2 linked regions of the Coturnix japonica genome follow. The protein of the gene in region 1 purifies or fractionates together with the protein of each later gene. This does not show direct contact. Links are inferred from orthologs where the notes say so. Each region holds a gene or a part of one and is shown in the gene's direction. Other genes may lie near its edges.

Evidence for each region.
Region 2: the proteins of BMS1 (region 1) and RCL1 purify together in Homo sapiens (co-immunoprecipitation; 4 studies listed by BioGRID and IntAct, with this or other methods). This does not show direct contact. The link is inferred for Coturnix japonica from reciprocal best matches to the Homo sapiens genes BMS1 and RCL1.

Annotation. Positions count from the first base shown.
Region 1 is NC_029521.1:4,146,198-4,150,477, reverse strand, and holds the start of BMS1 (ribosome biogenesis protein BMS1 homolog), read left to right. Parts: upstream 1-1,456; 5' UTR 1,457-1,607; coding exon 1,608-1,783; intron 1,784-2,357; coding exon 2,358-2,548; intron 2,549-3,328; coding exon 3,329-3,408; intron 3,409-3,848; coding exon 3,849-4,037; intron 4,038-4,167; coding exon 4,168-4,280. Other genes in the region: uncharacterized protein LOC107315604, read left to right, coding at 1-39. UniProt on the Homo sapiens protein: GTPase required for the synthesis of 40S ribosomal subunits and for processing of pre-ribosomal RNA (pre-rRNA) at sites A0, A1, and A2.
Region 2 is NC_029547.1:24,742,737-24,746,550, forward strand, and holds part of RCL1 (RNA 3'-terminal phosphate cyclase-like protein), read left to right. Parts: intron 1-3,228; coding exon 3,229-3,332; intron 3,333-3,814. UniProt on the Homo sapiens protein: As part of the small subunit (SSU) processome, it plays a role in 40S-ribosomal-subunit biogenesis in the early pre-rRNA processing steps at sites A0, A1 and A2 that are required for proper maturation of the 18S RNA.

The DNA of each region.
Region 1 (4,280 bases):
GGCGGCCAGAATTCCGCCTGTCATTTGGGTTACGCATGAATCTATGATGAAAATCATCTTTTACTTTGATTGGCAGTGTTGTCCCAAAGAGGTTAGAGGTTTTGCAGGTGGAAGGATGGAGTGCTTGCTGTAAGCTTCACACGCTGTATAGAAGGGAAAGGAAGGTGAGGAAAGCCAGCAATGTGCACAAGAGAGCAACCTGTGGGAGGTGCGTTGCCAGTTCCTCTCCTGTCCTGCTGGGACTGTCACCAACCAGCACCGCTGTGGACATTTGGCTTTCAGTAGCTTCACATTAACCTGTGTGTACAGACATACCTCAGTACAATACCTCGGTACCAAAGACTTTTGTCTTCTGCTGCCCAGACTGCATTGGATTCTACCAGGAGGCTTTGGACTGCTGAGTTGGTTTTGTAGTCTCACCGCACAAGATTGTACTGATTTTATATAGAGTGTCTAGTGGAGATAGCATGAATGCAAGATTGTCTGAGTGTGGGATATGCAGCCTGGGTGTATTTGTGTTTTAGGTGTGCTCCTGGTAAAGGGCACTCCTGGTGTCTTCTTGGGTATTTAATGTATAGTATTTTCACTTCAAAATGACCAGATTTTATAGCCTTTTAGAAGGCTTTATTTTTGTGATTTCCTGTTGTGTGTACATATACATATATATATTTCAAATCATTTGCTAATATTGCGTTGATCTAATTTAATTAAAAACAAACACAAACCAACACCAAACAAATCGATTCTCAACTTCCCAAAGGAAGGGTATTGACCGGGGTTATATTGAACTTGTAGATCTGCACTGGGGGTAAAAGTGTCATTGTGTTCATTGCACTTGACACACAGGGCCCTGTTTTTAGCCTTCTAGACCTCCACAGCCATCTGTAAGACCGGTGTGATCTTACCAGTCTGGGGGGTGTGTAGCTCTAAGGGGGTTAAAGCAACATCACGCTGAAACTTATACACGTAAATCCTCTTTTAATGCTTAAAATATGACTCTGGAATGCTTTACATGTGCCTAGATTCTAATATGTACACTGTGAACTGCTTTTCTATAGCATGAAATAAATATAAGAGAATGAAACTTAAACACGGAGCATTATCTTATTAGTGAAAATGGTTATCTCTGTGGGGAAGCTTCCTAGAGAGATGTGTGCACAAAGAAGCCCAGCATAGGTGCAGGGTCGCTGCCCAGAGCCACATCCATCCTGGCCTTGAATGCCTGCAGGGTTGGGGCATCCACAGTCTCCATGGGCAGCCTGTTCCAGTGCACAAGCTGCGGGCGCTGTGACACGGACAGTGTCAGCTCTATGTACACGAGGTACAAGGACCCCTGCACACACAGGGCACTGCAGTGTTCCAGCCGGCAGGCGGCACCGCCTCAGTGTTCGCGGTGTCCTCCGGAACGCCGGGTGCGGTCTCTTGTTTCCGGAGGAGGCCGGAAAGCGCTGCGGGCCCACGCGGTGTGCAGGCGGGTGGTGCGGTGCTGGGCCCGGGGAGCGGGGTGGGCGCTCAGCGTTCTGTACGCCCCGCTTCGCAGCACGGGGCTCGGTCAGACGGAAACCTTCCATGCCACGCTGGTTGTAGGCGGCTGTTGAAGGAGTAAGATGGAGGAAAAGGAGAAGAAGAAGCACCGTGCCAAGCACAGCGGGCCGAAAGCGGAGAAAAAAAGGAAACGGCATCTGAATGATCTGGGGATTGGAGAGGAGGAGGATGCACGGAAGAGAAACCCCAAAGCCTTCACAGTGCAGTCCGCTGTGCGGATGGCCAGGACGTTCCATAGGTGAGCAGCAGGGATTAGTTACAGAGCACGCAGTCCATTAGGTGGACAGGTAAAGGCCTTTTACAGCTGCATGGAGCTGTGGGTGCCCCATCCTTGGTAGCATGCAAGGCCAGGATGGATGGAGCCCTACAGCCAGCCCACAGTAGGGGGTTGGAACCAGTGAGCTTTAAGGTCTCTCCCAATGTTTATGTGATTTCATGGTAATAATGTTAGCTGCTGCTTCCTTACCTATAAATGTATATATATAATGTATAAATGTATAAATGTTTTACCTATAAATGTACGTAGTGTAATTTTCACAGATAGGCTCACAGAGCTTTCCCCGTTGACAAGGCTGTGCTGTAATCTATGTGTTTGTCAGTAGTGTGGTGCATCCTGCATCTGTATTACCTGCTAAGCTTACCAGGAAAAAGCAATGTCCATAGAGATCCTTAGGCTTAGTCATAGTTCTTTGGTCATGTTGATAGCCAGGCAGCTGGTGAGCCTTTGTATTTACAGATACTGAAGATTTTCTAAATGAATATTTATTGCCTTTTTTAATTACTTCTTGTACTTGTTTTAAATTTCTTCTCAGAACTCAGGATTTGAAGACTAAAAAACATCACATCCCGGTGGTTGACCGTACTCCGTTGGAGCCACCTCCAGTGGTGGTGGTTGTAGTTGGCCCTCCCAAGGTTGGGAAGAGCACCTTAATAAAATGTCTCATTAAGAACTTCACAAGACAAAAATTGGTTGAAATCCGGGGCCCTGTTACTCTTGTTTCAGGTGAGAACAGAGATATAAGAAATGGAAATGCCTATTTTATGCTCCGTTGTTCTCTTGCTTTTAGAACTAGGACGTGTTCACGTTCTCTTGATTCTTAGTCATACTGAAGAAGTCATTTGGCTGTGTTATCAAACACACTTATTAACTGTAAAGTAATTGTTAGATTTGGGCTTTTGTTCATCTAAATGTGTTCCTTTGTTTGTTATGTTTTCAGTCCCAGCTTGTACTTGGCCGTTGCCTCTTGGCCTTTCTTCTTTATTGCCATTTGGATCCTTGAGGTCCAAGGAGGAGCCCAACCCACAGCATTTCAAGAAGATTGTAAGGGAACTCTTGCTTGAACCCCAGCAGTTGTGTCTGCTGTTGGTGGACTCCTGAGAGGCTTAAACTAATAAATCTGCTTTCTGTCAGGAATGATAGACAATAAAAAGACAGAAAAGGAATAAATGGGATGGGAAAAATGTGCTGAATTGGATTTTCTCTTTGGTCTGGGATACAAAGATAAAAAACAAAGCAGAGGTTTCCTTCAAAATGCGACTTGTCTTCTGTTGTTACTTTGTTTTTGGAAAAGGCAGAACAACTTGTTGGAAACCATGTGCTCAGCCTGATAATTTTACATCAAAGGTAACGTGGCACAGAATTGCAAGCATTTGAAAACAAATACTTTTACCATTGCACGTAGTTGGCAGTCCACTTTCTAGACTGCAGGAGTATAACCCAAAAAGAAATCAGTGCAGTAATTCCTTTCCTTTCTCTTTGAGTTTCTGCTCCTTTTGTTTTCAGGTAAGAAACGCAGGCTAACTATTATTGAATGTGGGTGCGATGTTAATACAATGATTGACCTGGCTAAAGTTGCTGATCTGGTAAGTTACAAATAGCTTGTGATTTCTACTGTAATTTATGTTGAAAGTACTTCTTCATAGAAGAATGATCCTGCAAAATGATCCTGCTGTTATTGGAGGGTGCTCAGTTTTTCATTGTTTAAATTCACCAAGTAGTCCAGGCCTTAGTAGGTTACTCTATATTATATTTTCTACAATTCTACTCAGTGAATGAGATCTTTGTACAGGAGATTGTTTGACTGGAAAATTAGATTTGATTCCCTAACTGGTACTAACTTCTGAAGCATACTGTAATTAAAAAGCCCATGTTGATTTTCAGGCTATTTGAAAATCAGTAGCAGAAGTTGTGCTAGTTTTTCATTTCTGAGCAGCTTATGACTTTAAAGGCTTAGTCTTTGAATTTAGCTCATGTGGACATTGTAGTGGTGTTAAACCATGAGCTGCCTATGTTGTGTTCTCAGGTTCTGATGCTCATTGATGCCAGCTTTGGGTTTGAGATGGAGACGTTTGAATTCCTGAACATTTGTCAGGTACACGGCTTTCCCAAAATTATGGGCATTCTTACCCACCTGGATACATTCAAGAACAACAAACAGTTAAAGAAGACGAAAAAGAGGTTAAAGCACAGATTCTGGACTGAAGTATATCCGGTATGGCATCCCTCAGTCATTTTCTGTAGATTTTAATAATGATTTCTGAAACAGAATTGCATTAGGTTTTTCCAGTTTAGCAAGTATTGTATTCATGTTTAATATTTTAATGTCTTTTGAATGTATTTAGGGTGCTAAGCTGTTTTATCTGTCTGGGATGGTTCACGGAGAGTATCAAAAGCAGGAAATTCATAACTTGGGGCGTTTCATCTCTGTTATGAAGTTCAGGCCTCTTACTTGGCA
Region 2 (3,814 bases), on another chromosome or scaffold:
AAAGGGCTCGGAGGGAACTCTTTAAGTGCTTGCTTAGCGCTTGCTATTATGTGAACTTTACCATGTAGGAAATTTGAGACTTGCTATGTGAAGTGCTAAATTGCTCTTTTTGCTAGGCATCAAAAAAGAAGTTGAAAAGGGCATATATGATTCTTGCTTTTGTAATATACCTTTGTAGCTGAAGCAAAAAGGCCTCATTCACAGGCTCCCATTGATCAAGTGGTGTGTAGTAGATCCGGACCCCAGGTGCCCTTTATTGGTCCAGTCCCTGACTTTAAACTACAAACTCTCAATCTGTTCATGACTGTTTGTCAAGGGCAGCTCTTAACAGTCTTTGCACTTCTTAACATCATAACTCTTCCACCTCTCCTGCCTCATCCATCCCTTCTGAAAAGCTCATAGCCCTCAGTTATGGTATTCCAGGTACGTGTGCTATGCCATGCTTCAGTGATAGCAATAAGATAGTAGTTTTCCAATTGCACCATGGTTTTCATCTCCACCTGTTTATTTCCCATGCTGCATGTCTTGGTATAGAGGCTTTTCAGCTGGGCTGTCAGCCTCATTACCTTCCTGGAAGAGCCCTCCTTAATTCCCTTAGGAAAAATCTGAGGTTTTTGCCTGCTACTTCCTAAAGTGTTTCCTGATTATTCTCTGTTCCTCAGAAGCACAGTCTCCCCCACCCCCAGTCAAATCTAGTGATGAGGCCTGCCAACTTGCTGCCTAGTACACGTATCATAAGATACAGCAGGTTGAGGGTCTCCACTAGCACCTTTTTTCTAACTTAGCTGTGCTATTCCACATCTTTTCATGGGCAAGTTCACCATTACCCCCTTCTCTTTTTAAATCACATTTAAAGCCCTGCACATAAGCCCAGACAGACCCTGGGCCAGAATTCTTTTCCTCTTGACTTAGATGGACATCATCAGCAGCCATCAGGCCAGGTGCTGAGTAAACCACCCCATGGTCAAAAAAGCCAAAATTCCTGTGGTGGCACCAGCTTCTCAGCCATGTATTTATCAGATGGGTTTTCCCAGTCCTGTCAATTTCCTCCTTGCACCTGAAGGGTTAGAGGAAGATACATACCACCTGTACTCCCACTCTTAGTCCACTAACTGCCTCAGTCCCCTGAAGTCACTTTTGATAGCTTTCAGGCTCTCAGTGGCTTCATTATTGCCAGCTTGAACTATCAGTAAGGAATAATAATCAGTAGGGAGTCTGTCTCCTGCTCATACTCCCTGATGCTCTTCAATCTCTCCACCTCCGCCTTGAGCTGTCCCTATGCTGAGCAGATCATCCATAGGCTCACAACTCATGCGGGTGTATCTGCCATCCTGCGGGGGCAGCAGCAGGCTCAGACACTCCCTGCAACCAAGAGACTGAAACAGCCCTATTTCTGGGCAGGCACTCAGTCTGGGTAGCTGCATTCTTTTTGGCAAGAGCTTTCTGCCTAGTGGAGACCATGGCTAGATTTGTTGTCTGGGAGGCAGCTGATAGGTAAGCCAATCCCCGGACTGGGGAGGGATAATCTGTCCTGCCTGTGCCAGCTGCTGCACCATGCTCTGTTTGCCCACTGTTTTCAGCACTGCTGGGAGCTGTGCTCCCCACAGGCTGCTTTTCTAATTTCAGGGTGTGATGCTGCTGCTCTTGGCCCTGCCCCCACCATGTCAGAGCTGCTGCCACATGGAAGGCAGTTGTGTCTGGCAGCTTGTCGCTGACAGGAATTCAGTTGTCCTGAATAGGCACAGTCAATTCCTTGCTTTAGTGTGGAATGCAGCTGCACCAGAGCTGTCTGCCTGCAGAGAGAAATATGAGCCAGTAGTGTGCACGGGTGTCCAAGAAAGCCAGTGGCAGGGAGAATGGCTTTAAAATAAGAGAGATTTAGGTTAGATGTTAGGAGGAGATTCTTCACTCAAGAGGGTGGTGCGGCACTGCCACAGGCTGCCCTAAGAAGCTGTGGATGCCTCATTCCTAAAGGCATTCAAGACTAGGCTGTATAGGGCTCTAGGCAACCTGATCTGGTGGGTAGCAGCCCTGTCCATCACAATAGGTTGGAACTAAGAGATCTTGAAGGTCCCTTCCAACCTAAGGCATTGGGGTCACAGGACTGTTCCCTTGGACACAGCACAGGGGAGACAGAGCCACTAGTTCCTTGTTTGGTTTGGGGTCCTTCATTAAAAGAAGGATGTCAGGTCATTGGAATGCATTCAGAGAAAGATAACTAAGCTGGTGCAGAGACTAGAAAAAAAGATATATTAGAGGCGGCTGATGAAACTGGAGTTGTTTAATTGGGAGACGAGGAGGCCTGGGGGGGACCTTATCGTTCTCTACATCTAACTGAGAGGGCTGCTGTGAAGTTGGTAGTGGTCTCTTTTCTTGGTTGACAACTAATAGAACATAAGGGTTGCAGCAAGTTGCAGCAGTTGCAGCAGTGGAGGTACCTTTAGCTTAGATATAAGGAAGATCTTAAAGGCCTTTCTTATAGCGACAACTGTATGATTCAGGGTGTTGAATTTATATTTCCAAGGAACAGTGAGACTTGCCACGCTGAAGTAAAACCATCTTGAAAATTACTATCAGTATCTCTCACTAAAATAGTCATTTTTTCTGCCTATTCACTGAGTGAATGTGTTCAAATTGTCACATCACTGTGTTTTCTTAGTCTATCCCAAAATTTATTTGGAATTCCAAATTTCAAAAAATTTGCTTTTATGAATAATTATATTTCTTAAAATGTTAAGTTTGTGCTTTGCCCACAAAGCTAACTTCCAGTTAGCAGCCTCTATAGTTTTGCTTTCTCCAGACAGCATGTTCAGTGGGCTTATGATTTGTTTTAATTTAGCAGGAAACTTTTGACAGACTACACTGTGGCTCTGGATCTGCAACCAATGAAATTCAGAATTTCATGGCATCCTTTTGCTTTAAAGCTGTTTATTAAAGTTCAGAAACACTTCCATGCTTCAGTTTTGTAATGCTTGAACAGAACAGGAAGAGATGAGAGAGAGTACTTTGTTTTGACATTATTCATGGGTTTTGGTTTAGTTCTTTCCCAACCTGCTAGGTGAAATGAATTTGTCACTGTTACAAAATCAAGATTTTTATCTTTTTGGCCCTTGAAAACTGAGAGCAGTAATTCAACCTTTTAAATGTATCTTTCTTCTCCATTACTCTCCTCCCATCTCAATTTCTGGTTTGTACAGAGATTAATTATTAAAACATTATGGTTTACAGGGAGGTTGTGTTGATTCAACAAACCAGAGCCTTGCTCTGCTGCTCATGACCCTTGGACAACAGGATGTTTCCAAAGTCCTGTTAGGACCTCTGTCTCCATACACGTAAGTTGTTTTTTTATTTTTATTTTTTTTTCTTTTCATTTTAATTACTTAGTCTTGTTTAATTCTCTATCACACAGCTATTTGTTCTATATGAAAGATGTTGTCTGTGGCTGTGAGTAGAACAACTTGTCTCATTTTAAGACAGATATGGGTAGTGTAAGTTACTTAGTGTTTATTTTTACACGTTAAAATATTATTTCCTTACCACTGTGTATTCTTTCTGATTCTGAAGCAATTAAAATTGCAGAGATAAGGTTTATTGTGGATTCTTGGTCTTGTAGTGTATGTGTATGTCAGTTAGCTTTTTGTTGCCTAGGATATACTACCTTGTTTTCCTAGTGATTTCCCTATACCTGGGGCATCAAATGGCCTATTTTGAATGGCTTGCCAAATGCTAAAGCTGTAACTGCCTAAAGGAAACACGTCAAAAATTCAATTTCCAGAGCTGTGTGCAGCCCTAAAGCTTTAGACCTGTCAGGTAG